Linked DNA regions of Lepisosteus oculatus. The protein of the gene in region 1 interacts with the protein of each later gene in a pairwise test. Links are inferred from orthologs where the notes say so. Each region holds a gene or a part of one and is shown in the gene's direction. Other genes may lie near its edges. The genes, in order: cep70, atp5po, lamtor5 and znf366.

The links.
Region 2: the proteins of cep70 (region 1) and atp5po interact in binary tests that used the Homo sapiens proteins (3 or more experiments, as listed by UniProt). The two-hybrid records come from large-scale screens. The link is inferred for Lepisosteus oculatus from reciprocal best matches to the Homo sapiens genes CEP70 and ATP5PO.
Region 3: the proteins of cep70 (region 1) and lamtor5 interact in binary tests that used the Homo sapiens proteins (3 or more experiments, as listed by UniProt). The two-hybrid records come from large-scale screens. The link is inferred for Lepisosteus oculatus from reciprocal best matches to the Homo sapiens genes CEP70 and LAMTOR5.
Region 4: the proteins of cep70 (region 1) and znf366 interact in binary tests that used the Homo sapiens proteins (3 or more experiments, as listed by UniProt). The link is inferred for Lepisosteus oculatus from reciprocal best matches to the Homo sapiens genes CEP70 and ZNF366.

Annotation. Positions count from the first base shown.
Region 1 is NC_090707.1:6,583,084-6,590,402, reverse strand, and holds the start of cep70 (centrosomal protein of 70 kDa), read left to right. Parts: upstream 1-4,302; 5' UTR 4,303-4,342; coding exon of another isoform or gene 4,343-4,361; intron 4,362-4,776; coding exon of another isoform or gene 4,777-4,799; exon of another isoform or gene 4,800-4,828; coding exon of another isoform or gene 4,829-4,852; intron 4,853-4,900; 5' UTR 4,901-5,116; coding exon 5,117-5,179; intron 5,180-5,572; coding exon 5,573-5,672; intron 5,673-6,518; coding exon 6,519-6,642; intron 6,643-7,319.
Region 2 is NC_090710.1:18,233,986-18,241,754, forward strand, and holds the start of atp5po (ATP synthase subunit O, mitochondrial), read left to right. Parts: upstream 1-4,747; 5' UTR 4,748-4,816; coding exon 4,817-4,843; intron 4,844-5,534; coding exon 5,535-5,585; intron 5,586-6,788; coding exon 6,789-6,899; intron 6,900-7,769. UniProt on the Homo sapiens protein: Subunit OSCP, of the mitochondrial membrane ATP synthase complex (F(1)F(0) ATP synthase or Complex V) that produces ATP from ADP in the presence of a proton gradient across the membrane which is generated by electron transport complexes of the respiratory chain.
Region 3 is NC_090700.1:37,465,810-37,473,831, reverse strand, and holds the start of lamtor5 (ragulator complex protein LAMTOR5), read left to right. Parts: upstream 1-5,009; 5' UTR 5,010-5,130; coding exon 5,131-5,165; intron 5,166-5,638; coding exon 5,639-5,700; intron 5,701-6,307; coding exon 6,308-6,425; intron 6,426-7,170; coding exon 7,171-7,231; 3' UTR 7,232-8,022. UniProt on the Homo sapiens protein: As part of the Ragulator complex it is involved in amino acid sensing and activation of mTORC1, a signaling complex promoting cell growth in response to growth factors, energy levels, and amino acids.
Region 4 is NC_090698.1:24,357,541-24,364,368, reverse strand, and holds the start of znf366 (zinc finger protein 366), read left to right. Parts: upstream 1-3,815; 5' UTR 3,816-3,934; intron 3,935-6,828. UniProt on the Homo sapiens protein: Has transcriptional repression activity. Acts as a corepressor of ESR1; the function seems to involve CTBP1 and histone deacetylases.

The DNA of each region.
Region 1 (7,319 bases):
CTTAAAACAACGCTCTTTAATTAGGAGCAGTGAGTGCGGGATCTTAAGATGATCAAGACTTATCAACGAGCTACAAATAGACGCACGGCGACCAAATGCCCAGTAGACACGTGTAAAATACTGTATAACACCTTTTTAACACGAAAAGAAGATCTGCGTGATCAAATTTAAACACAATCGTCAATTTTAGTTTTTAATCCTAAAAAGTTTAAAACTCTACTGCTGCATTCTTCCAGGGCAAATTATAATCCTTTTTTTACATAAATGACGTTTCTGTTCGTTAGTTTAGTGGCACAATCAACTGGTTTCAGATGGTTATATTTTTAAAGAAAATGCATTTAATTACAATCCGCGGTTTGAATTCAGAAATTGTTAATCTACACCGCAAAACACTGCCGAGTCACGTCATCTGCCTGCTGTACATACACGGAGGTTTATATGGGGCTGCTAGTGCCGAAGGACGTGATCTTCTATTTGGTAATATTTTTAAAGTTTTTTTGTATCATTTACTCCCGTCTGTCTGATTTCTGTTTTGTGTTGTTACGCAAAATACCGATAAAAGGACACAGATCTGAACAAATTGCCAGATTTAAGAAATGAATCCTACTAACAACTTGACGTGGTTCTCCACGTTTGCAATTTCTACTACTAGTTTCTACAAAGAATAAATTGCATTTACAAGTCTCAAAATCACGATGAAATAGTTTATTGCACCTTACCTGCTGCTTAACGCAGGTATTAAACTGATTCTTGCAACAGACGAGAATACCGTCACTATGGAAACGCAATGCAACCTAGTGTACAGTTAACTGTGCAATTTACACATTAGCGTGTCAAAATCGTGTCGGTAATCTAACATGAATAATACGATTACGCATTATTTCTGTTACCTTTTGTGTCTAAATATGTATGTGAATTCGGTTTAAAATGTTCTATTCACTCTTCACACACACCAAGAAGGCACAAAACAACGCAAACCTCGCAGTGACGTCACTGCAAGGCTTGTAAGATCTCTGCGTTCCTCGCGATATTACGTTAACAAACCTGCCTTTCTTCCTACCCGAATTCCTGAGAGTTATTTCACATATCTATGGTAGCGACACGCGATTGTCCAGACGTCCCGGAAAACTCGCAGTCCCTCAGGATGTAGCCAATCGCAGACGTCCCTCCTCTGAAACCACACCTTCTGCCCCCGCCCAAAAGGGGCGTGTCAATAAACGGATTCGGGTGGGAATAAATGATATTCCGTGGCCCGAGATTTTCTTGAAAGTATTAACATATTATGAACTATATGAGTATCGGTTTCACCAATGTTTCCGATTTCACCATTTATTAGGAAACAGAAACAATTTCACAAAGTTCAGTACCAATGCCATACAGTCACGCACGACTGCATGTCGAGATTAGTTAGTGTTGTGAAAAGGCACTTATCAATTTTTCTATGCATGCATGTGGAAATTTTTTTCCCCAGTACGTATCAATTATATTTTGTTCTAGTTGCTTCTGGAATTGGGAAGCAATTTTCTCCCAACATTTTGGTATTTAATTATTCCCCAAGCCCTGCCTGCCTCAGTGCTGGAAAAGTACTGTTTGTGTCACCAGTGGACCTGCAGAAAGTTAGTTTCCAAATATACAGCATAACTCCCCCATCGAATAAAAGCGGATTTATTAAGAAATAGAAAAAATGACTACATTTAACATTGTTGTGCACCGTTGACACGCAAGAGGAGCAAACAACAGTCTCAGCAGATTGACAAATAACTGTCCCGCACAGAGCGCGCGGGGGCTGCGGTTTGCACACGTGTTTGAGTTCCCTCCTTTGATAGGCCGCTGTAGTCCGTCAATCACATTCCTCTAGCCAATTACCTCTCGGGGTGGAGGGATGGGGCGGGCCATCGCCATTCCGTACTCTCCTATTGGTTGAATTCCAGGGAAGTTTCGCTTTACTTAGCCGCCGCTGTGTATTTCAAACCGTCTCGAGCCCGCATGTAAAAGTAAGATTGCACCCAGAGGGTTGCAGGAACGCAATACAAATATTTCTTAAGATTAAAGGGGGGTATCAAAACACTGTTCCATCATAATAATAGGATATTTATGAAAACAAGATTGCTGCCCAACATACAGGTAAGGTTACGAGCCTTTCAGCTACCCTGCTTTTAACGGCTTCTGACCGCTTTTGTATTTCATTTATCCACGTTTTTAAAACAAGTGTGCGCGACAGCTAGTTTTAAAATGACAACGCACAAGACGCCGCTTGGCCGTGCGAGTACGGGGTGCTGAGGCTGTCCCTCTGGCGCCTACTTCCGCAGCGTCTTGTTTAGCAGTTTCCCCACAAACCTCGGCTGAGAAAGCGTCTTATGTAGCGAGTCTGTTTCTGCGACTAGAGGTTGTTCAGTAATAATGGAGGCTGCACAACCCTCCGTATCTCAAGCCATAAATTGAAATCCATCCCAAATAACCAAGCGATTCACCGAGTAATGCTCGTCAATATCAACGAGTGGCTGTTCAGCCTGCCGTTCTTGCCCGGCTGCCGAAACCAGCGGTGTGAGGGGTCTCGTTCAGGCGGTTCTGGCAGAAACCAGGGTACCGGCTGCAATTACAGGGGTGTGCATCTTGCTCCAGACTCCCAGACAGTCCTCTCCTGTGAAGAAGTGCACTTTCTCTCCGTTCCCACTCGTACCTTCATGCTCATCTCTTCTAGGGCGGCCTTCCCTGCCTGTTTTTAAAGCAGATGCACCCGTGGCGCGAGATGAATTATTAAATTGGTGCAATTAAGTCGTTAGCTAGCAGACGGTTAGGTCATCAAGAGTGGAGTTGGAACAAGGATCTGTAGAAACGTCGGCCACCATAAGAGCAGTATTGGACAGCCTTGACCCAGCTGTCTTTCTCAACCCATTTCGGAGAGGCAGTATTTATAAGAGGGTTTGTAATACCGTTACCAAAACTATATATAATATTCTAAATACGGTTTTATGAATGCAATATATAATTATATTGATCTTAGAGTAGAACAAAATAAAAAAAGAAAGAATTAAAGTAACAGCTGAAGTAAGGGAAATATGCTAAGATTATACCATAATGTAATAGAAGATTCATGTTTGAATTTTATTCACATGCTGTTCTTCATGTGCACTGCATTAAAGCCAGGTGCAAGCTTTATGTATGTTTGGTTCCCAGCCATCCTGGTTTTCTTTCCAGATGAGCTCAACAGCCGATGAATTAGTTGATCTGCTTTCTTGTTTAGACTTGTATCTTGTTTCATAGGTTGGTTTTGCATGTTAGTTACACCCTATGTACTCTGTTTCCAATACTTCAACACACAGAACTTTATGCTGCCTCTTCTTATTTCTGACTAAACAGCTCTAATTTATCGATCACCTGATGATCAACAGACACAGGTGGGAATTACACTATCAGACTCGCCCACAGGTGAGAAGGACACTATCAGACATATACTGGGCATGACATTGCATCAGATATATCCATTGTTGGATTGCCTCTTTATTGAACATCCCCCCAATGGGCGTGGTCACTGTATCAGACACCCCCACAACACCAGTTTTTTCCCTCTGCAGTTCATAACAGTTCAGGCAGCACACCTGAATGATGGCTGTTCTAAAATTCAGAAACAGGCACTGGTTACATTTGACCTTTTCTGATTTGAAAGTAAATTTACAAACATGCCACAAACCAAAAAGTGAAATCAACTAGCCTGTAGAGTGAAGCAAAACCCAAGAAGACTGATGCTCCAGGACCGGGGCTGCAAACCAGTGGCCTAGAAAGCAGGGCAGTTCAGCATGAGGCTCAGTCCAGTCCAGTCCAGTCCAGTCCAGTATACTGCACTCCATGTCAGGTTTCTCTCCAGCCAGCTGTTTAAGGATGTGATTGACAATCATCAGTAAAACAGCTGAGGTGCTGGTTAGTCTGAAGGACTGCAGTGGAGTGGATTGACATTTTCAGTTGAATTTGAAAGATCATGACCTGTATCTGTTCTTGTTGGCTTACATCACCCATTGTGGCAGACGTCTGAAAGAAGGGACATGCTCTTTATCAGCCTTAACTTCACAGTAGGGGTTGACAACCCAGGTCCCAGTGTGCCATGAGTCTGACTGGGTTCCATTTCAAAGTCATTAAGGCCTTAATGACTTCCTTAAGTGTATAAGAAGCCCAGTCAGCTGTATTTTCCAGGTGTTAAGTGAAAGATTACTTTCAAACCTGCAGGAACCTGAAACTGCAGGACCAGCTTTGGGCTGTGTGGGCTCAGTGAAAATAGGTCGTTTTTCATGCTTTGTTTGTATTTGTAGTACCTTGTGAAGAAGACTAGACTCCGTATCCCACAGGCATGGCTCATCAGAGCTCGGGTAAGTTAATAAAAAGGACTGTGTCACCTTGAGAACATTTTTCTCTTCCATACACGTATCTGAAAACCAAAATGTTGTAGCAAAACAACTACACTATAAGGGCATGTAAAATAGTGGACTGCAGTACAAAATGCAGCACTCAATACTATTGTTTACCTGAGGGGACTTCTCTCCATCATTAGAAAGCTGCTGATTCTGTTCCGTGCTGCGAATGCCACACGTTACACTTGCAGACACAGACGTTACAACGTAGACACGCGTGTTGTTCATGCAGACACATACGATCCACACACAGATGCGTACGTGATACACACAGACACACGTTAGCCCATCCTGCCTGCCTTTGGAAGGAGGAAGGATACCACAGCATGCGGAGAAAGTTGTTAAGTTTAAGAATCCTTTCTTTTTCTTACAGGTCAAGAAGTGGACAATGAGCAGGTCAGATATTGGTTTATCCCGTGAATAAAATGAGGGAAGGCAGCAGCTGGACGGTGAGGCTGCTCCTGAGCTGACAGTGCTTGCTCTCTGCTCCCATTCAGAGCTCCTGCCGGGGGGCAGTCACCTGTAACCTGACGCCCGGCCCGGCCGGGTGAGGCTGCAGTAGGAAGGAGGGGAGGGGGGCGGCCGCTGCAGACGCAGACAGAGCACCCCGCCGCGGCTTCAGGAGACAGGGCAGCGGCCGGGGAGTCCTGGAGAGAAAAGAGCTGGGCAGGGGCTTCACAGGGCTGGTCCTGTGAGGCGCGGCGGGTCGGAGGATGAGCGCGTTACAGCAGAAGGACAGGACCTATGTTTATGTGTGGACCTGCAGCCAGTTTCAGGTACAGGACGCGCCCCAAGCACAGCTCCAGGGATTTCCTTAACGTTCCCCTGGGATTGAGCACTGGGAAGCAGTTTCTCCCTTTTCTGTGGATCGAAAGGTCATGCCTTTCAGGGTGTAAGCGGATCCTGTTCCCTTACAATGATGAACTGAAGGGAAACCGGTTTATTTTGTTGTTACCGAGCCTTGCTCCGGGAACGTTTTCACTGTGTGTGGGAGAGCCGTCCTGCTTTCTTCATGGACCCTCGTCATTTAGACCTGCGCTCGGTCTGACCCGATTTCGGATTTCCTGTGTGTGCGTGTGGTAAGAGGTGTCGATGTTGGCGTGCCCACAGCTGCGCGGCTCCCCGTTCTGATTGATTTCCTGAGCGGCTGTTTTCTCCGCACTGTGCAGCAGGAGCAGCTGGAATGGGAGGCAGTGAACCGGATACTCCAGCACCACGGGTTCAAGCCCATTCACTTCGCAGACCCCATGGAAAACAAGAACCTATCAGGTGCGGCACAGTCGTGCGGGTCGATGCAATGTCTGCATCATCCTGCAAAATCGTTAACGGAGCCTCTCGTCATATGGGAATGGGAACTGTTTTAGCAGGTGCATGACTGTTTGGCATAAAATATCGAATGGTTCCGTGCTCATTTGTGTCTTTCGTTTATACATTTCTGGACTGACACAAGGTTTTAAGTATGCTTTTGTTGTTTGATGCTCATGTTCAGATATGTGAACCCAGATTGCTTTATAAATTGATTTCAGATTTGAGGTCACGGAGCCTATACACTAAAGAAGCGAGAAGTGTGAAGCTTCAGAAAGAGGCTGTGTTGTAATTTTGTCTGGCATGTGCGTAGTGCTTACACAGTGCCTGGCTGAAATGCAATAGTATCGAGGCAGAGTTAAAAATGATAATATGTAATACAATTACTTCTGTAGCTTAGTAATGCAGCTCAGTTTTGTAATCACAAAGATCAGTGTATTTTTTATTTTTTGGTATCATTAAGCTCATTCATTGTCTCACGTGGCTCAGCTGTGCTGCTCAGCTGCGATACAAACATGACCGCTATTGTTTGCTTCTGTTATTATTCCACTGTTACTATGGTACCTCAAGGAGCTCCGTGTTTCTAAGGTTTTGCATTGTTTTCTGCACCTGGAGCTTGAATTAACAACCTCCCTGCTCCATCTAGACATCCTAAACCCCCTGTGGCTTCGGAGTCACCTGGCCTTTGCAGGGGTTTACTGTCAAACCCCACCTCTTGTGTTCCAAGAATCCTTCATCTCCATCTCTGTCAATTGCGTGTTGCATGAAGAAGCTATTCTCATGTTTAATTTGACATTTCTTCTCTTTCAGATCTGGTTCTGTTGGAGAAAAGGTCTGCTTCCGAAGTGAGGCTGGCTCTGAAGACACTGTTAAAGGACACCGAGAGGAGACAGGCCTTGATCCAGGAGCTGATTCAGACTAACAATCAGCTGAAGTAATTCCCATTCTCATTTCTCTTTGACTTCAGCGCAGGTTTCCGTTCTGTACCCACATTGGCTGAGAGTGTTTATAATGAGACATCAGCGCCCTCACCCCCAAACACTTGGGGTTTAGTAAAGGAGGACAAAACCTGTATTTGAGTATCTGAATTGGATTCAAATCAAGGGATTCCAGGGGTTAAACTATATCATGACCCAGCGCAGACCTATTTTTAAATCTGTGTCCATTTGTCCTCAACACCACACTATAGAAACGACATACGTGGGTCTGGAGGTGCCAGACATTCTGAAAAGTTAGTTTTTGAAAACCAACATATTGCCAACACCATGAATAAATGAAATCTCTTTGCACTGGGGAAGAAGGAAGCCCATGAAGTAGGACCACAGTTTCAAACGTTACTCTGAAAGCAGACACAGAACTCCCAGCAAAGACTCTGGTCTGTATAAAGGAAGGTGACTGGAGGCTTCTGGGAGTCTTGCCTTTTAAAGGCCTGTGCTTTGAATGCAGGACGGGAATGGCGATTGTATTTTAGCTGTGTGGGGAAAATCCCACTGGATGTCAAGTCCGGTCCCTGAGCCGCTCGGCCTTCGGGCACGGAGGTGAGAGGGTACTTGTTGGAATCCCAGCGAGCACTGGGGCCGGGAGCCGAGTGAGCACAGAACTGGCCGGCCT
Region 2 (7,769 bases), on another chromosome or scaffold:
GAGACCTCACAATTTTTCAATTTACTTAATTACAATCTTCAGGAGGAACGTGGATATTGCCGTGAACCATGATTGACCACAGACACTAAAAATTAGTTATCATATTGCACTATAGCAATACCTACACTTGACTATAGTATGCCATGATGCAGTCCCACAGGATATGCAGTAAGATAGCTCTGTGGTAATGGAATCATGTTATATCTCTGTTGTACAGTAAATTATGTTTAAAAATGTAAATCTATACAGTAATGAATTTGAATTGCCTGATATTCCCAGTTTGCACAGTTAACATAGCATTTAATAGCAGCACAGCTGACACAAACGCTTTCATTCAGTGGCAGGAAATGTGGTTAAATGCGAAACAGGATTAAAGACAGCTTGGATCGTTTGACCCCCCTGTGGTGTCATTAAAATATTTTCCATACAGTGGTTGAACCATTCGTTACAGTGTGATTTATTTTTTTTCCAGTGGAAATGTCTTGCACTTGCACACAGCATTTTTGTTTGCCTTTGAAAGACTGTTGTTAATGGCTGGTGAATAATATGTCTCATTTGTCTTTGTTGAATTGAATAAATACTATCAGGCCTCAGGAATTTATTAATTCTTTAGGGTTCAGATCAAGACCAAGGTTGATCAAGACCAAGTTGGGGAAAGGGGGATTCCATAACCTGAGATTCCTTCTTTGAGTATATTTGCACAGTGTTTTATGCATATATAATTTTTAGGAATTCATATTCTAATAAATCTAATTGATTAATTATACATGTAAAATATTTGTATGTGTTATTTTCCTAAGATGATTCATAATTCATTTTTAATCAATAAATGAGTTGTTTACAATCGTATACTTTTCCAGAGGGAAGATGACTCACTGTACTTTACTCTGAATTCATATCAGTCTGCTGAAAAAGGAATTAGGTGTCCTCTTACACCCAGAAAGGCCAATGTGTTACTTACTAATCTAGCATCTGTACAATCAGATCAGGAATCACAGAGGAGATCTACTATCACTCAGTGGAAAAACGGAAAAGAGGTTTTTAAACGGGAAAATCTCTAATAGAGACTTTTAGCATTCCTTTCAAATTAAATATTTTTACAAGATTAAAAAGAGTAAAAAATAGTTTGAAATGTCCAAAACCTGCATGTCCACTCTGTGTCACTGGTAGCCTGTGCAGTTTTCAGAGGATGGGACTTATAGTTTGATGCAGAGTGTTTTCATTTAGCACATGAGCTTCAGCATTCTGGACATGCTAAAGCCTATTTAGCACCGTAGGAGATATCCTAGGAAGTTAATAATCTATAGAATCTACAGTGGTCTAATCCTGATGAGAAAAAGGCATACTATTACCAACGTTTCAGCATCAGAGAGCAAGGGCTATGCTGTGCAAGTAGGTAGAAGGTACCCACTTGGGTCCTACTGATACGTCTCCCTACTGTTTCTGAAAAGTCCAGCTCTTTTAAAGAATGAGCCTGACAACAGTTCTAATACATCAGGATATCACCCCTCACACAGGCCTGTGAAGGGCGTTAAAGGTTGTCACATTTGTCTTGTTGGCAAACCTTCTGAGACACACACTGAGGGCCCGGTCACACCCGCCCCTGCCATTCCCAAGGACGGTAGTGTCTTCCTGACAGGTAGGCCGAATTCCTTGTCCGTAGGTGTCGGAATATCATTGCCAGAAGGTTTTCTAATTAATGGATGTTTGTTGCAGTTTCATAAAGATTCAGTCTTTCTTCGGGATAGGAGAAAGGTATGCAGACCTTTTCACTGGGCCTTTGTTGACTCAACTCAAAGAGATGGATTCTTAAAAAAAAAAAGGTTCGAATATGATTGTGGACAAAAAAAACCTACAGTACTGCCCACAGTAGATCCAGCCAGTGGGAACTTTGATGTTCTTGGGTGCAGAGGCTCGCCATAATGGGGGTAGGTGAATCTGTACCTGTTTTATGGTTAATTTAAAATACAGTAAATAATAAAAGGTGAATCTTTCCCCAGTATGCTGTGCCAGCACTGGGGACCAGAAATTGTACCAACTTTCACATCTTTCCTTGGGAAACATGCTTTAAAAGCCAAATGTTTAGAAATTGAAACCCAGCAGACTTCATTATCATTAATGATAGATTCATCGCTGCCCACAATCTTTTCCACATTACTAGTGAGGGACGGATCAAAAACATCTGTTTGAGTTCACACAGCACCGTCTTTTACTTTCTTTCTTTTAACCAGATAATTCAGTTGATCATTTCTCATTTTCAATGAAGTCCCAGAGAGGCATTCAGGCAGCAAGACATTGATGATAACGGGGGTTTCCTTGTTCAAGGGTACAACTGCAGCTCTCCACCCCAGACACCAAAGAATTTTTTAACTCCATGGGTGGTGTTTACAGCTTCATTAATCCCTCTAGATACTGACAATAAACTCATGACTTCATTACAAAGTACCGGCCCAGTGACTGCTGCATAGGTCACAGAGTGAAAACATTTCTGTGGGACAACAGGTATCAGGAACCATGTTAACCTGAAATTTGCGCTGAATGGCCAGTGTCTCCCTTGTCCTTTTGGGCTTCCTCCTGTTGATCAAAGGTCCTTGTGTAGGCACTCGTTAATTCCCACACAGTTCAGACGTGACATGGAGGAAGTTGAGACAGGTCTAACTGGGCCTCAGGCTGAGAGGGGAGCTCTAGAACACATACACAATGCATCTTTACAGCTGTCTTTCTGCACACAGTCAGTTGGTGAATGAGTCCCAGGCAATTAGCTCTGCCCACACCCAAGACATTGCATGAACCTGTACACCCCTCCCCATCAATAATGAGTCCTGAGCTCTGAATCGATAAGGGCTTCATAGCCTTCACAGCCCCAGTAAGGGGTCACACAGAAGCCACAGCGACAGCAGAAAATGGAGGAGCAGTTAGCTCCATAGCACCCGGGAGGGGACTCAGACACCAGGGGCTCTACAGAGAGCAGCGAAGAAAAGCCCGAGCATTATCTTCCCTACCCCCATAACCGAAGTTCGCGTCCACCGGGACTGGAGAGGATGCCTAACATGGCAACCGAGTTTTTTTTCTTCATTTCTGCTCCCCTGGACACTGGGTTTTTGGTAACTAGGGTCCATGCGGTTCTGGTGCTGGCCTGGCATGTGTGTCCCCTGGAGACACCTTTTGTGAGTTATGTTCTGTTGGGTAGGCCTTGATACAATTTCCCTAATTTCTGGGTAATAAAAAGGGAAATTATGTAGAATGACTGTCTTGTCTTTTCTGAGGGGGGCGCCAGTGGTTCTGGGTGATAAAAAGAACCTGCTGCAGGGAAAAAAAAGGGCCTGGCATCCTTTGAAATAGCTAAATTGATAGAATTGGCATAGTCGGCTTCAAAAGCAGATATTTTTCCTGCATTTAGGGGTCACCCATCTGTGACACATGCAGTACTGTAAATTACAGCTGCGCACGATTAAATTAAAAATCCACTTACCTGACTGCACATAAACTTACTGTAGTACCGCCGGCACTTTTTTTTAACACACTGCGTCTGTGAAATGCTCGGAATCTAATGAAATTTAGATTCTTAGTACAAATAAAACATTTTCAGAAGATGACAAAGGAAGGTGGGGGGGATAATGATTCATCAAACCTGCACACAAACGTATAAAATGAAATAGTATCCCAAGTGCGTTCAGAGCCAAGGAGAATGTAGTATTTTTTCAAAGTAACAGGATACACGGTGGTACACGGGGGGGCTCAGTTTTAACAATGCGCTGTGAATGTAAACAGGACTGTATCACATGCGCTATATAACACAGCGTGGAAAATTCCACAAGGCGAGCCGCCTCGCTACTTGACAGCGTTCAACGCGACACCTGGAGGCGCTCCGAGCGACTGCTTTGCATCTCAGTGAAATTAACCGCGACGTGACAGTTTTAATGGGGCCGAGGTTGTTGGGTTTTTTTAGTGACGGGGTAAATGTCGCTTGGTGAAAACCTGTAGCGTGCTAGGAATCCGTGTATTACACACGCACTGACAAATCCTGCGAGACTCAGGCGGAATGGCTTTGACCCAGCAGCAAATTTACCTTCTGAAGAAGCCAGTCATGTTACGATGTCAGCAGGAACAGGTTAAGACTTCAGTCCCAAAATTCTGCAGTATTTTTTTTCCAGTCTAATTCTTTATAATTAAGACAAATAACATCTTTGGGCACATGAACTCAATATTTCCATGAGAGTGAGTTTCAAAACACATAAATATGCTTGTAGGTATAATGATAATCGAGTTGATTTGTTTTACATAACATAAAGCTATAGCAAAACACGTGTAAATCACACGTGAATAGTTTTAGAATAAAAAAGCTTTTGACTCGTTGGTGATTATATTTGATTTATCTTGTCACATGGGCTGTAAACCGGTTAGTGTGTCTGCTTACTTCAATCTACAGCACACAGTTGCGTTTCCTGTGAAACAGAAACTTGACCAAATACTAATACACACTAGCCCAATACCCAATCATGTACCAGTATTTTTGTTATGCGAGCATGTAATTTTCCATCGAGCATCGCACTCCGTTGCAAGCATACTGTTCGACCTGCGATGCAGAAAGTAATTTTCCACTGTACAGTCTGAGGCGGCGCTTGACTCAGTTTTAAGGAGGTAGTAATTTTCCACTGAACTGGAAAGCCTTAACTGCCCACTACATTTACCAGAAAGCTCTTCGATCACAGCACGATTGCGTTATAAACTACAGTAACCACAATTCCCTGTGTTTCCCAGCCACCCTACTTCCGTTCATGCGCTCTTGGTTTGACCTACACAGTAACAGGAGAAAATGGCAGCGGCAGGACTGGGGCAGCAGGTAGGACATTGAGAAATGTGGATTAACAGGACAGATAAATTCCTTAGGGACTGCGTTGAGTCCGTTTTCTGTAATCTATGGTGATGATAAATGCATATGGAGAGTGAAAGCAGTGCGGTTATTATTGCATGTGTTCAGATTATATTATAGTGAGACTACCACTATTTTTTATTCAGGCCTTGTGCATATGACAACCCGTGTTTTTACGTGTTAATTTGAGTGTACGGTTTTGTCTCCAGATGGATATACTGCTCCATCTAAAGATCAAACGCATATCACGTTTTGGAATAAACTGCCGAGGGTGTCGGCCTTCTCTGCAGTGCCCTTGTCGAAGAGTAAAGACACCCCCCCCCCTAAACCTAGACTAGAGGAACCCCCCTTTCTTACAGCAGTGGTTTCCTGAAATCCTAAGAATTAGATCTCCAAGTTAACGAGTTGTTGTAATTTTTCTTCTTTGCTTTTAATTATAAACGCAAGACCTTGAAAGATTTGATTCTTTGACTGCAGAAGTGGGACAGAAGCCATTTATGTAGGTTTTGTTTTTTCCAGGAAAATGTTTTTTGGCCTTGTGGACATCGCAGGGTTTATTTTATTTTTTTAAATGATGCAGGTAGTTCTTAATTTTAAGATCAGACCAGAGGATGATGAATAATTTAATAGGTGCTCTAATAGCTCTGTTTCATTCCTGCAGGTGCGCCTCTTCAGCACCACTGTAGTTAAGCCTGTTGCGAAGCTGGTTAAGGTAAGACTAGAGGCACAGTGATCTTAAGGAACATCTTGACAGACTCCCTTGACTGTTGAGTATCTGTGTTGTCTGATAGGACAGAAACACTACTTACTTACCTGACAGAGAGAGTTGGCCTAGACCTCTGTTAGTCACTTTGCCCAAAGCCACTTCTCACATCATGGAAGTGGATGGAAACTGAATAGAATTCAGAAAATGTTTTCAGTTTTTTTTTATTATTTATCCCGTGCTTCCACAAGCTGATTAAAGAGCGAGAATGCTGTCTCTGCTGAAAACTAACATTTTCATTGTTTTGGTTTTCACGTTTTAAAAAGTCAACATTTTCACCTGTCAGTTTAAGTAGTCACATGTGGTGTTGTGAGCATTGGATACAATGCTCGACAAATCACTTTCCCTGAGTCTGACTTCTAAAAGTAATATCACTTTTAATATCTTAAAAGTAAGTTTAAGAGAAACCTCTGAAAATTATGGGCTGCAAAGAGGTCTTCTACGTTTGGTTCTGTAGGGGTGCAGGGACTCTTATGATTTCTTGGCAACCCAGTCAACTGTTTGTCTCCCTTCTGTTCTCTCTGTCATGTACTCCCTCTTTGTAAATTTCCCAGACATTGTTAGTTACGGGCGGAGCGGTGGCTCTGTGGCTAAGGATCTGCGTCTGTGACTGGAAGGTTGCCGGTTCAAATCCGGCAGAGGAATCCTACTCAGTTGGGCCCCTGAGCAAGGCCCTTAACCCCAACTGCTCCAGGGGCGCCGTACAATGGCATACCCTGCGCTCTGACCCCAAGCTTCTCTCCCTGTCTGTGTCTCCTTGGAGAAAAGCTGGGGTATGCGAAAAGATGAATTCCTAATGCAAGAAATTGTATAGGGCTAATAAAGAAACATTATAAACATTACATTATTATAACATTATAGTGCGCTAAGCCTCTGTGAATTCAGGGTTAATGGCCTGGTCTGCACAGCCCGATCCTTTCAAACCGAAAGCCACCTAAGACACAAACTGAGCATCCCAGATTCAAAGTTCCTGTACTTGTGGAGTGTTCCTTTCTGAGGGCAGCTTGAGCAGTCCGTTTCAAAGGAGGAGGAATAGGGAGTATCCAGACAGCAGCTGACCCGTGTTCCCGTACTGGCGATGCTCTATTGTTTGAACGCCTTCTAGAAAGCCCCCACTGGGCAACACGCAGCTAACGCGGCCTCTTCCTCCAGCCGCCCATCCAAGTGTATGGTGTGGAGGGCCGCTACGCCACTGCCCTGTTCTCTGCCGCCTCCAAGCAGAAGAAGCTGGACCAAGTGGAGAGGGAGCTGGGTCGCGTCGCTGTAAGTCTCCTCTTCTCTTGCGCGCACGAGCAGACAGGACATGTGTGACACAGACACCAGCAAAGCAGCATTGTATGGTCTGACCTTGTGTGCTGCGCAGGGCCTGATGCAGATGCTCATGTAGCACCCTATTGGCTACGCCAAAGGATATGGAAGGCACTTGGGTACATTTGAAATGATATTATGTTGAGAAGTGCCCTTTTTACAATCATGGGTCATGAAGAGTCCATCAGGCGATCCACAGCGCATGCAGCTGGAGTGTGTGGGAAGCTGCATGAGATGATGGTTTGCTGTAGACTTTGGCTAATGGAAGGAATATATAAAGGAATATTAAAGGATGTGTTATGGATTGTTGGAAGACATGAGTGGAAGGCATTTGATCTAGTATCTAAACATGTCTTGGGGAAGATGGAAAGACTTAAATCAGTACAGACAGCAGGCTTCAGGAAGGTCAAGGCTGATAAAGTTGGCGGCACACTCCAGAAACAACTGCCTGCCTATGTTTTAATTTGGTTTTCAGTGTGGGGATTTAAATAATTAGGGGAGATGATTCTGGGGGCTCTGTACTCCTGACATTTCTTGCTGGTTTCTTTGAGCTGGGCAACAGATGTTTTTAATTGTAGTGCCTGTGGAGGTGTAAAGCTTATAACAGACACTTGGTTTATCCCACTTTTGTTTTAAATAATCTGTGATGTAAATAGGATACTGAGGAGATGTGAGTCTGATCTGTTTTTATAGATTGCGAGAACTTTAGATAATGCCTTTGTCACTTTCAGACAGCGTTAACCTACCCATGAAAGCTGCTGGTGACCTATAGTGTTAAAATATTTTAACAGCCCTATTTGTAATACTGTTTTTTTAATGAAACAG
Region 3 (8,022 bases), on another chromosome or scaffold:
AAACATTAAAGAACATTAAAAAACACGTGGCAATGTTTGTCTTTTTAACTCCGGAGTTACTATGGGCCTGATCTGGTCTCCCTAAAGTTCCCCTTATTTCAATCAGTGAAGGGGGGCAGCTGGGGCAGAATGGCTGCTCTGCGTCACCCTGGTGGGGGCTGTACTTCAGAAGTGGATGAAGTGGGTCCCCTCACATGTACTGTTTATGAAGTCCTTTAGGGTAGAAGAAACTCTATACAAATGCAATTATTATTATCTCAAAGTTTTATAATAAGAAGAAGAGTAAATGAATTTACCTCCATTAGTGGTTTTAGGAATAAATTAATAATTCATACACTATTCATAACTCAAATAATGAAAACCTGTCCTCAGTATTTTCAACAAAAAAGAGGATATTTTGAACTACTCTAGTTTTAATCTGACTGTATTTGTAAGTGTTATGACATGAAGACTGCTTTATTCTTTACATGAAACAGCACTAATCTCTCCCTTCAGAGATTCAGAAGATGCATCGTAAATAGCCGTAACAACCTGCTTAACACTATGAACCAGGAGAAAATTCTGGAGCCTCTGATGATAGATGGCTCAGTCCTGTCTCTCAACTAATTGCAGACTAAGTAGAATGAGCAGATGTTCCATTAGTTAATTAATAACAATGTCTTAAAGAAAGGTCACTGGTTGGTAGAGAGACAACAATGAAAATTAAGATCTTACCCCCTGGATTTGTAACTAGGAACCTTCACTCACCTCAGCTATGATCCTGGATGGAAAACCTGTGGTTTGAATGCCATAATGTATCTGTTTTTCTGATCACCTCATGCTGCAAAGAATACTTGGTGTCAGTTTGAGCTGCATTAGAATGATATGGTAGTTAGCCTCACTAGTTTTGGGTTTTGGGTTTTTCTACAGTACTTGACTAACCTCAATACTCATCTTTTTAAAAAGAAGTGCTTAATGCAATTTGGTTTTGTGGAGGAGCCAGAGGCTATCCTGGCAAGCAATGGGCACAAACAAGGGCACACCCTGGACGGAACACCAGTCCATCGCAGGGCACAGACAGACACAGACAGACACAGACATGCACACACTCACACCACGGCCAGCTTACCCACAAGCCAGTTAACCCACTAGTAGGCCTTTGAAATGTGAGAGGAAACCAGAGCACCCTGTGGATGTGAGGAAGTCATTTGTAAGAAAATGTTTGCAATCTTTAAACATTTGACACAAGATTCAGAAAACAGACATGGATACAAACATTAAACTCTAAACACTTGTCATAAATTCTTGAATGAAAATAATTTGCATTATTTCTTCCAACATGGCATAGACAAGAAACGTTATGGGTAGATAAGGTAAAACAAACCATCCTGCCACCAAGAGCTGTGTGAAGCTGAAACAGCCCAGCTAAACCTGTCGGACTGCAATAAAAAGACTTTCCAGTATCAACACAAAAGAACCCGAGTCACCATCTCTGGATATATGGTGCATCTGTTGGTGACCTATTGTACAGCATAGATTCGCGATAAGGAGTTTCATCCATTTGAAACCATGACACAAGGCAGTTTCAGACAGCACTCCCACCAATGCTTAAAATAGAGCTGCTCTTTTCAAAAGACTGAACTCACAAGAGATGAGAATCTGTAAAGAAGATCGCGTGGCAATGCTGTTATCGGTGGTCTTGCAGTGAACTGCTGACCTGAGGAAGGGCCAAGCAGATGGTGGTACGTCTGAATAAAGTGGGTCTGCATTAGTTATAACAGGGGAATCCTGGTACAGCACTGAAGAAATCCATATTTATGAAAATCAGAAAGCAGAGCTTAGTAAAACTCCTCAACTATTACGTGCACAAGTGTGGTTGGTACAGGATGAATTCAGGTTTTTAAATCTCTGTTCCTAGCTTAAAAATAAAATCAGAAGTTAACTGTTCCTCCCCCCCATAACATCCTTTATACTGCATCTTTAATTGGCTTAGGACACATTCAGAAAGAGTTCAACAAAGTGCAAAAAAGTTTGTGTTAAAAAGAAAACTGGAGAGAGAAACAAGAATTTAGAAGAAATTTGAAATAATCACTGAGACATCTTTGTGATCAACTCATTTTTCTTTGTCGTTTGGAAAAAAAGTCTGCTTCAACTCCATAGCAGAAATGCTAAATACTACTGTTTTAATTACATTTACAAATCGAACAGGATGGAGATCTTTCATTTTCTACACATCTGTTGTTTCAAAAAGTCCATGTTATTGCCTGAACCCACAGATTAACAAGGGACTCTAAAGACGAAAATCACAACAAAGACAGCTTTTTGCGAAATCAGTAAGGGCCTGTAGACTGGCTTGAGAAATTTGTCCTGGAGAAAGTCAATTGTTGACAGCTCCTGGTGTTTCCAAGCACTGCCATGTAAGATCTTTGAAAGGCAAATTCCATTATTAAATATTGCACAACCTCCCATCCCTCCAAAACACCCTGAATTGCTACAGTTGATCAAGGGCAGATCACCTTCCCCTTTCATCACCTTCATATGCCAAACCTAATTCTCAGGTGGTTTTCAAATAACAGTCTCACTTCCTTCCAGGCTCTATTCTTTCCCTGGCTCAAGCTCTGCTAAATCTCGAGCTGGTAGAGGTCAATGGTCATTGGATGCCACTCCTCTTCTGTGTTTTTAAACAGAACCTGACCAATTGTCATCCTTCAAATAGTCAGCTGACTGAGGATGGCAAGTTACCCCTACTGCCTTCTGGGGAATGTAGTTCAGGCAAGAATCTCCCTCTCAAAATGTGTAGTCAGGAATAGACTGACTGTCTCCAAGGGCGGACAGTTCTAGTAGTCCTGAATCTTAATCATGTAGGGATGGATGGGTTAGCTCTGATAAAATCCCTGTACATAACAACTCCTTTGCTTTTCTAGGAAAGAAGCTGAGTATAATGAATCCCAGTAGATAACATCTTTATTATGTATGCTTGCCTTTTTGTAACAAGGTTATATCTAAAAGTGCAGAAGCTTGGATGGTATTTTCGGTAAAATGCCCTGATGAGGACTTTTGTAATCCTTTTTATTAGATGAAATACAATGCACTTTCAGTGTGACTAAAAATAGCCAGACTTGAGATAGATGCTGTATGCTGTATTGCATTCCCATTTAAGGGTAGATGCGTGGAAAATAATTAATTCTAGTTGTGGCTGACCTTACTATAACGAGATATGGTATCATTACTGCAAATTAGAAAGGAATCCCCATGATACCGCAGAAGAGAGGGCTGGTGAGTTCATCCAGTTTGCATCACTTCTTCACCTTTCCATTATGGGTCCATCCAGTATTTAATGTTAAAGACTGTTAATGTCAAAAAGCTCATCTGAGAAAGGCTCTGTATGGTGCATTAGTCCATGATCAGGCATGTTATGAAGCTGAGAAAAATAGTCTATAATGAGTGAAAAATTGATTTAACAACACACAAGTGAAACGCTATTACACATGTACTGTGCATATTTGAAACACAGGAAGATGATTACCATATTAATATGTTTACAATATCCTGTAGGTTAAATGATATACTTTATACATGGTACATTCATTCATTTGTACTTTACACTAATAAAGATACTGTGACATTGCCTTCATGATATGTATTAAAAAAACAGGCATAGGAAAAACATTAAAATGTATAGTAGTAATGCTTAAGGAAATCAAACCTGAATTGTTTTATTCCAATATAAAATGGGGAAAATAACTAAAATGGTATTTTCTGAGGAAAATAAAACTTTTTTATTACTATTATCATGATTTGTTTTGTGTTTGTAACTACAGCGACCAGTACGATGGTCATACGGCTGAAGCTCCCCTGTGTACAGTGACCAGTTTGCATTGCTCAATCCACAGCTGGGCATGTGAGGAGAGTGGGAGCTGAATACAAGAATAGAGATCTCTGTGCTCCCTGATCAATGACTTTGACAGCTGGCCTGATTCCAATTTCAATCCATAATTCTTCCTCGCAGGGAAATTAATGAAGCCAAGGGCTGATTAGGTCTGAATCACTCCTCCATGACTAATTCAGGGTTATTTATCAGCGCTCTGTGGGCCAGGACACTGCACTACTCACACAGAGTTGTAGGCACAAATGATGTTCTCTCTAAAACCTGGGCGACTGGCACAGCCACACTCATACCGAGAATGTAATATAAAACAATGTAAGAGCTTAATCTGAGACTCACGTCAGCTCTTGATAAACTGCGATGAACAGTGTTATTGTCACCTTGCTGTTACCTTTGAAATTGATTTTGTAGGACATTTTGGGTGGCAGACCTGAAAGTACTATGGAAAGCAATTTAAGAATCTTATGAATCTTAATGCCAACATCCAAATGTTTACAAGAAAGTAATGCCTTTTCTCTTCATAGGTTTGTTTAATTTAATAGCAGTGTGAGATATACCATCCTCATCAGACCATAAGTTATAATGGAGGAACATCATTACTGTGTCAGTCATCATTTCTAAGAGTATAGGGATGAACTGTTCTAAATTTAATCACTTCAATTCATTATTTTAATAAAAAAAACAAATCAAGACCATTTGTATTCTAGTGCATCCACTGTATTTTTATAATGTTTGTTCCCAAAGCTCAGAATTTATTAAACACCCTTTCAAACTTGATGAATGAAGATGGCCATGTTTAGGAACATCTAGGTTCATAGTTTGAGTTCACATCCAAATACCCTGCCAACAGTCCTCAGTGAGTCATTCTTTGTGGCGCAGAGTGCCGCCTTCTGATTTTCTAAACAATTCTAGCAATTATTATTATTATTAATTAATTATTAATTATAAATAATAATAACACTTTTTCACTTTTCACTCCATGGGATGGCAGGAAAAAAGCTGATTAATGTTTAATAGTGTCTCTAATGTTTAATACATGAAAAACTACATCTTACGTGGTCACTGAGGTTGACTCAATACTTTTGTCTAAATCGTATATATCGCTACGCTGGTTTGACTCTTGTGGGCTTCCGTATAAGGTATTAGTCACGTGTGTAACTGTCAGCTGACTGCTGCCCATAGTGAGGAAAACGTCTCTGTGCTGTATTTTCCACAATTTACATTGTTTTATTTTTGTAATTTATGTTACTGTGAGCCTTTAAAGAATGGAGTCAACACTAGAACAGCATCTAGATGATACGTGAGTTTTTTTTTTAATATAATCCGCTTTTTAAGTGTTTTACTTTGGGGAAAAAACAAACGCGATCTGGAATAATTAATTATCTAAAATATTTGACCTTTTTAAATATAAATTATACATAGACAGCGATTTTAATATATAATCGTTCTAAACATAATTGGCTAATTCCAAAAACGGTACTAAAGTAGTTCCTTTTTACATTTTCATACCCTAGTATTGAAAGAAAAAAAATAGATACCCACGGATTCACTAACAAGTTATCTGAGTTAAAATAATGTATTTGTTTACTTTCAATATGGCTTTATTTAAATATTTGTTTTTATAGTATTTCTATTTTTCGTTGACCCAAAAGTTGATCGCCTGCCTTTACCACTAATGTCGCCAGAGAAAGACTTCAAACGTTTTACTTTCTGAGCGATATCAGGGTACATACGCGCTCTTTAAATGAAACAAATCTGTCTTCTGCCTGTCAGAATGAAGAACCCTGCCATCGTGGGGATCCTCTGCACTGACCAGCAGGGCCACAACCTGGGCTGTGAGTACACACACCTGTCCCACGGGCTGTGCTGCTTTGTTGAAAACATCGCTTTGCCACTACCTGTTGTTTCAGAGTCCTGGAGAGCCGCAGTGCTTCTTAATTTACTTAATCTGTTTACAGTTTACCACCTTTTTCAAGAGTTCAGTTGCATAGAGTTTTCTGTAATGCCTGCAGAATGAAAAATATAGTAAAGAGAAGTGGTCCTTCCTTCGTGTTCTGGAAGGCTTCCTGTGATTCTGGTTTTCATTCCATTTGAGCTGTTACTTGCGAAATTAAATCAATCATTTATTGAAGAGTGAAGGAGTATGGATTGGGTTCCCTTTAAAAAGGGAGCTCTCTAGGACCAGGAGAGAGGGTCGCAGCTACGGGCAGTCCTGAATTTCAGAACGGTACATTAGTCCAATGGGAAGCTTCAGCACGGAGATCAGATGGCCTTGCTGCTGTTCACGCACGAATGGAGCTTCCACAAGCACGGCAGTGCCTTCACAACTGTGACTTTGAGTGTTGGCGAAAAGGGGGGCGCAGTCGTTTCAATACACAGGGTTCAGGTATCTGTGTGCCGGCTCTGACCTGCCCTCTCCTGCTGCTCCTGTCTTGCCATTAGGCCGCGGCACGCTGTCTGATGAGCACGGCGGAGTGGTGTCAGTGCTGGCCAAGCAGGCGGCCCAGCTGACAGCGGACCACACTGACTGCCCCACGGTGTGCCTGGAGTCGGATGCTGGGTAAGAGGGGGCAGGAGGCTCTGACTCTGCCTCGCTGAACAATTGGGCTTGTTAAGTGCACGGCTTTTACTATTTCATTAAGTTACACCCAGTTCTTTAAAAACGCCTCGTTTCTCATTGGTGCGGTTCAACTACATTGCCTAATTTATGCAGAGTCGTCTTACTTAATGTTCTATATGATTGCAAAACGTTTCTTATACCTTTCTACATGTTGTCACATTTTCTTTCCATTTCTCTCTAGGCATGCTACTGTAGGTACAAAATGCTTGTGTTCAGTGTCTGTTAGAAGGGATTTTTTCTGTATTTGCTTCTTTGCTTATACTGCCACCCTGTGGATTTGAACTAAGAAACTGGGGTGTTAGTTGTCTCTGAGTTTTACAAAGCGCCCTGAAAACTCTGCAGTGGGGATGAGAACTTCACTCCTTAAGGGCTATACCGTTCAACAACGGAAGACCAAAACAATAGGATTTTTTTTTTGGCTAAAATATTTCATTTGTTTAAATGAATAAATGTCAGAGGCGAATGAAAACTGCAGGAGCTGCCTGTCTCAGATCTACAAAGTTTTTCTTTTTCCAAAGCTCTGAGGAACTGGGCATTAAACAGGTCTTATGACACCATGGCACTAGTTGTAAAAGAGGATGTTTAAACCTCTCTCATCTCATGCTTGGGGTCATTTATTCCTGGAACTAAAGTCCTTGTTTATTTATTCTTGAATTATGAAAGACACTTTCTCTTCTCTCTGTAGGAACATCTTAATAAGGACACATGGCACCATTACAGTAGCTGTGCACAAGATGGCATCCTGATTTTTCAAGCAACAAGAAAACACTTTACTTGTTTCCCCACCCCCTTTTCTTTGTTTTTTTATGAAGCGCATAACAAACTCCAAATGGTCATCTTCCAATAAAGATAAAAAACAACTGAATAAGCATTTGAATGTTGAGACCATTGGAATACAATTTCTTGTGTTAACAGTTTAGTAACATATTGCTTTGTTTTCATAGAAGGATGGCGTCAGTCATTCAGACACAAAGTTAGACATTGCATTTCTCAGTCATTTGTGCTCAGCTCCTCCATTTTAATGAGCAACTAGTTACAAATAGTTTGGGGATTGTTGGAATGCTTGTGTATGTACACGAGCTTTTCAAGGTGAATGTCTGCTGGCTGCCTCCCTGATAGGTACAGTACAATGTTTCATAAGTTCAACTGATCTGAACTTTGCCCAAGGTCGCCAAAAGGTGCATAGCATGAGGTCATGCTACTGAAAACTGAAGCAAATGACAGCTATGTCATAGTCTGGCCAGCACTGGGCTGGGAAAACAATTTGCTAGTTTCAGTCTTAATAAACAAGTTCTAGGTTACCCTTAAATGTGTTTTTGTCCACCACACCATTGGTGGAGATTCAGTGGCAGAAAATGGAACTTTCAAATGGACAGGTAGCAAAATCTCATACATCATAGAAATGAAGGGCATATTTTTATGATTTGTTGGTTTGAATCATGACTTTTATGAAAGAAACACTGGGCACTTAGCAGAGGATTTGAACTCTTTTTGTCATTAAGCATGTTTTCTGCTGTGCTTTGCTATCTGCGAGTTC
Region 4 (6,828 bases), on another chromosome or scaffold:
AGTATATTTTTGTAATGTGTAATAAATTGTTGAAACAACTTTTAATCTTTAAAAATAATCTTTGTGTTTTTGTACAAAGAGGTCCCTTGATACCTACTGAATTTTTCATTTAACTAATGTATTAGTTAGGGTCTAGTAGAGGTTAATTCTGTGCTGAAGCGTACTGTAGAAGCACATTAGATAGCAGCAACTGAAGAGGCTGAGTAGGGAACTGTGTTAGCCTATGAGCTGCAAAGATACAAGTAAAGCTTAATTCCTTGCTGAAAAGTAGAAAGAAGAAATTGTTTCACCTGAAGAAGTACTATATCTTTAAATGAGAAAAAAAACAAAGAGAGGGATCAGGAATACGAAGCAAAGTCATTAGTAATATAGGTCTTTCTATATTCATGTGTCAAATTAACCTCTGGGTATTCCTTGCATTTTGCACAATGACACCATTGTCATGGTGTCATTGGCAGCTCCCTACTCAAATGTATTAGTTAGGTACACAAACAAGCAACGTTCTTTAAAGGTAAGTAGTATGCAACAAACATCAGGCATTTTCTTGAATTTGTATTCTCCTTGAACTCAATTATGAATCTTGTTCTTTGAGGCATATTACAAACAGGGACTCTAATTTCCCAAATGTTCTGTCACTTGGGCTTTGAACACATGTAAGCTAGAGGCAGTTTCCAAAACAACCTAATGATTGTTCGCAGATGAGACAGTACAGCTGATAGAAAAAGTGATAAGGCAGAACTATAATCTATCTGATATTGCTTTCAAATTCAATAATAAATCAAAATGGTGTCATAAGTTTGGATTAGTGGTCAATTGTACATCATTGGTGTCCATTGGGATGTTGCTGTGGTACATGTAATTTATCCTACAGTAGATGTGTTTGAAATGCTTCACATAATGAAACACTGTGGACCCAAGAGTCATCGGAAGACTAATTTGAATATGAGTCATGTGGCAAACCAATTTGAACTATTTAAAACTATAGTTTTGTGAGTGTCAGGTCTTGCATACAGTAGCAGCCTCATAAGGTGCCTCATATTTTCCTTTTACCTCATTTGGAATAAAAGTGCACCTAAGGATGAAAGGATGTTACAGCTTGCATCCTTACAGCTTTTTAAAATTAGAATGGATCTGCCTTCTATGGAAATATGATTCTTCTGTCCTTCCCTGAGTTGTCTGGCACTGGAGAAAACAATGTTTAAAAGTGAACTTTGCCTTTCCTGTCTGTCTTCAGCAGCTGAAACAGTTGATTACAGTTTGACAGCACCTTCAAGTAGTACAGTATTTGTGCCATTTGAATTTTTCTGCTGTTAAATTTCTTCCTTCTCAAATGCAACTCAAGTCATTGTTTAATTCATGAGCACAATCATGATAATCAGGACACCTGATGCAAATTGTGTTTACTGGAAAGAGACCTGTGTATCTTTCTTACTCTTGCTTACCCCATTCACTTGCTTTAGTCTAAGAGGGTTTTGGCTTGAAATTCTGGTGAAACATAACAGTAAGATATTTTACTAAGATGACACAGAGTGGGAGAGGAAACAAAAAATGAAACAGGGTGAAAGAAAGAAATGATTAACAAAAACTGCAGACACAGTGTTTCCAGTCTTTTGGGACACCAAAGAGGGACATGTTCAATTTTATATCTACATTTTATATCTATCTAGTGAATTAAATGATTGTTTAAAAGCTAGTCTAGAATATTGCATAGCCTTTTCTCACACTCAAATGCAAATAAATAAAAATATTATATTCATATTTAATTTGAAAAGCAATGAGTTATAATACAAAAGGAATTTAAAATGTCATCCTTACGTAAACCAGCTATTTGATCAAAAAGTTCAACACCAGTCTAAGGAAGTGCACACGTTTGTTACTTTTATAGTTTTGAGTGGAAGAAGACAAATACTTCTTTGAACTCTGACCTGGCTTCCAGGATTTCCCTGGAGCTCCACACCTCGTAGCTGTATTGTCTTTTTAACACAGAAGTTACTGCCACTGATGGCGACACTTTTAAAGCAGCTGAAAAGGAGTTCACTCCCCTTTAATAATAAATAATTGCAAAACATTCCAAGGCATTTCAAATCAAATCTTAATATTACATTTCCAAAGCAGTTCAAAGCAGTATTGTTATTTGTGACTTCTGGGGGAAAAGGTGCTAGGTGTTAAATTAAAATTACATTCTAGAAAAAGCTTTTGCTTACTTCAACATATAATGCATGCATTAAGGCTGTGCCTGTTCCTTTGCACAAGCAGGTGCATTTACTTACATTTTACTGTGTAAAAGAACATGCTTGTGTGATGTCTTTATGAAAGGGCTTGCATTATCTAAGGAAATATACAAAATAGTTAATATTGTTGCAGAATGTCTTTATTTTAATTTTTACTAGTTTTTAAACAAAACATTTTTAACTGTAATATATTTGTATTGTCAGGTGTAATAATTTCATTTTATGTTTTTCTGTTTTTTAAATAAAAAAATCACTTTAAAATATAGGAAAAATGAATTAATTTACTGTACAGCAGCCTGGGAGATAAGAGATAACATGTCCTCTAAGGCATGGGTTCACAGTTCTGGTCCCATTGATTTGTAGTCCAGATTAGTGTTCAGTTACATGACAACACTTAAGTTACATTCAAAAAAATAATTTTAACTCAACAATCATCATCAATGTCTTAGGCATGCTGGATGTTGCCTTTTCAGTGTTGCGTTTCAAACTACCTTAACATCTCCAACTTTCGAGTAGAAAAAATTCATTTAAGAGTTTCATTAAGTAGAGAGCTCAGCTGGAACCAGCAGGTGTATACAGTAGTTCCCAGGACCAGGGCTTTGCTGTAAGTCACCAGTGACAGTCCATCAGATTTGTGCTCTATGACCCAGAAATGCAGACAGAAGATCATTTAACCAAGCTGAACAAAGCATATGATGTCTCCCACTTAATGCAACAAATGACACTGATGCACAGAAAACTGCAAATGTGATGGCCGACACAGCAAACCGGACAGACAGTGTTGTATCATCTCATTGGAGACAACTAGAGACAGAGCACCTTTCAGGCTTCAGCAAACTGCATGGACTCATTAAGAGATATTAAGAGCACAGGCAGGTCATGATCCTTATGCCTGCACTCTGCATTAGTCATGTCCAGCTTCAATGTCTGATTGGCAAAATCTTTGAAACTCTTTTTTCACAATGGTTTATAATCATGAGATATGTTACAATGCAGCATACTGAACAATATCTAAAGAACATCACCCTCTGGCTTTCTTAGTGTTTTGGTGCAGAACTAAAGCAAAACAAAACCTGAACAAGACCAGAGATCGTTAACATCTCACTGCAGCTACTGTAAATACCTGGGTACTGGCAATATGGTAATAAACTGCCTCATTTAATACACCACATAATAAGGTGTTGCATATGAAATAAATTGAGTTCAGAAAAGACTGAAAGACCTTTAAATGTTTAAAGGTTTAAATGATCTTTGTTCATGCAGTATATTAGTTCCTCTTTATTTAGGAATGTGCAGTAGATGGGTATATGAAACAATGATTTTTTTCTTGATTATCATAATCATTAGTGGTCAAAACTTGCTTAATAAGAGTGTATAAACTGGAGGCAACAATGCATACCCCATTTCTTTTTCCTGAAGTCAGATAAATCTGTATTTCTAAGAGAAATGGAGATGGCTATCTGGAGTTTCCTTATTTTTTCTCAGGAAGGCAAAGGCTTGTTGACTTCCTCTCCCCTCCCTTCCTTCCTTCTTTCCGAAGGTACTCATCTGAAAAATGAGAACAAAGTGATTGTTCCTGTTCTCTTTCTTAAGGCACTTCAAACACTGTCACTACTTCTGCCTTTTCAGTGTAGAGAGCCCCACAAATAGCAGGTATACAGTGGAGAGGAGAGCAACAGTCAGTCACTCAGCCGCAAGCCCTGGTGAGTCATGTGGATCTGGATCACTGTTCAATGTGCTTCTGCTTTTAGATAAAGAAATGCTGGGTGAATCTTAAATATATCAATTCCATTTAATAACATTGTAAATGTAATATATTCTTGCATGTGAATGCACAATAAGCTTTCTTTTTTGCATGGTTCTCTGTCGGTGAATATGTGTAAATGATGAGGGACATTGTTCAACGTGCTCTTACTACGTCTGCAGCGGTTTGAAACATGATCATATCAATAGGGCCCAATTGTGTTTGCTGAAGGATGTGTCTGTGCAAGAAGTATATTGGGGAAGATGAAGAGAGGACCTGGAGCAAACAAAATATTTGGGAGAAAGTGATTGCATAAAAATGGGATGATGTAAAATGACATGCCTATGCAAATGTAAAATCTAGTTACTTTTTGCTTAAATGGCATGTAGCTTCCCCTGCACCAAATTATTTACAGTTAACAAAGTTTATGATACCTGGTTTGTGCATGGTTTTCTGACGTCCCAGCATCCTCACTCCTAGTGCTGTGGTAGAAAAGCTTCTTTGTGCTCTTAAATATAAAGCCAAGAAAAAGTATTGCACAGTTTCTTTGCGTATGCACTGTCTGTGTTTCAGAAATCATTGGTAACTTAATTTTGTATAAAGAACACTGTCAGTCTTATTTTATTTTTGTAAATCTTTTACAAAAGCTTTTAATCTTTTATATTTTCAGCTATAACAAGCAAAAACATTGATTAATGAGAAAACATACAAATGTTGATCTGGCCTGTTTCAAAATGAGTTAGCTATGTGATGTTTGATCTTGAATGATGGAAATGCAAATTGTGCCAAAAGTGCAACAACTGTAAATCTAATTTTACAATTAGATATGATACTGGTTGCTTTTAAAAAAATAGGCCTAGATCCTAAGTACTATACAAGAATTCTAAGTTTCTCAGCAGAATCACTTTTGCACAAATAGTCACACGCATTAAAAGGTGCTAAAATGTAATTTTGCAGCGTAACTTTTCTCCTAACTGCTTTAAATAGTTTTGGAGAAATTGTTAGTAATAGTCCATTTTTGCACTCACCACTGAAAAAGCACCCTTTCATTTAGTATTCTTAATACCAGTTACATGTAATTACTATTTATCTACCTGAGCAACTGCAGTAGGGTGTAATTACTTACTGCTGTTAGTCTTCTGGTATAACTTCTTAGCCACACTGTAAAATCTAAGAAAGGGTAGAAGTCAGGGAAGACCATATATAATTGTCAACATCAGCATCACTAAGATTAGTCTTTCCCTCAATAGCTCACTACTCACAATATGATGTGGCAGTTTGTTGCATACCTCAGCTTCACATGTGAAGAAATTATCTGTGGACTTCATGTTCTAAAGTTTGAAGCTGAGCTTCATTACTATTTTTGGAATCCTTCTGGTTTCTGTGCTCTCAGTTAATTCAAGTGCTGTACATATACAGTATTGTATAAATGTGTACAAATTAAATGTAAGTGAGAGAAATGTAATGATTTTGACCACACATATCAAAGTACCAGTACTCTATATCATAAAACTGTAATTATGGAAGCAGTGCGTCATCCTGTATTAATTTACAAGCCTTAGAGTTGTGCCAGTTTTTTTTTCCACTGCTGATTTTTGAGGAACTATTTCTACGTTTTTTTTATTTACTTGACTGATGCTTGTAACCAAATAGATCAGTTTCAGAGATTATAATTAATATTTTCTTCCATGCATGTTTTGGTCCCATGTTTCACTGCTGAGGTTGTAGGAGCAATCTGGGTAAAGTAAACTCATTCAAGAATGCAACATCGGTGTCTTCTCTTGGGATTTGACCTTACAACGTCTGTTCAGGAGTTCTAAAAACTCCTGGCCAATAAGGACAAAATGAAAACAAACATTTTTTTCTACATTGACAAAACTACTGTTCATACTAATAATAAGAACGTTTTTATTATTGAGAATATTTAAATAATAACTCATCTGTTGACCAATGTTGTCATTTTCACGTTTTACTACAGTGCCCTGTGCGCTATTTAACCATATGATGTTCAAGGGATGTTGCCTATTGTTCTGAGGTCCATTGATGACAAGTTACATTAACTGACATCATTAAGCATCTATTTCCTATTCAGCTTTGTGTTCTGGAAATTCCTTTTTCTGGAATAGTTAATTCAGTGCATGAATAAACATCTAATGCAGTCACTTCCATTTTTTTGGAAGAAAGTTACAGAATGCATACAAAATGTAAAGACAGCAAATCATTCTGTAGTATCATTAGGTTTTTTGCAGGAAAAATTGATAGTTCACTTAAGAAAATCCAACAATCTAAACCATATGGGACATCCTTGTTTTAGTTAGTTTAAGCATCTGGTGCATTAACGGTGTGTACTGTGTCTGGAAGTTGTTGAAGATACAATTTGGATATTGCTGACCTAACATTTGTCTGTCCAGGATGTAAGACACAGTGCAGCTTGATTTCCGAAAATCCTTTTCCTGATGTACAGTACCTTAATCCTCCAGTTAGATGGAAATTCAAGAACACAAGTTTTCACAGTTTCACAGTGGATTTCTAACAACGGGAAGGATTTCAAAGTTGTTCTAATTGTGTTTTGTAATTAGCATCTGTTGTTTACTATGGGGCAGCATGCTGGCTCACTGTGGCATTGCTGCCTCATAGCGCTGGGGCCCCTGGTTCAACTCCGGACATGGAGCACCACCTGCATGGACTTTGTACGTTCTCCCCATGTTTGTGTGGTTTTACTCCAGGTGCTCTGGTTTTCTCCTACAGTTCTGCCAAATTTGCCCCGGTGTGAATGTGTGCATGTCTGTCTGTTTCTGTTTGTCTGTCCTGCCATAGGCTGGTGTCCGGTCCAGGGTGTATCCAGCCTTTGTG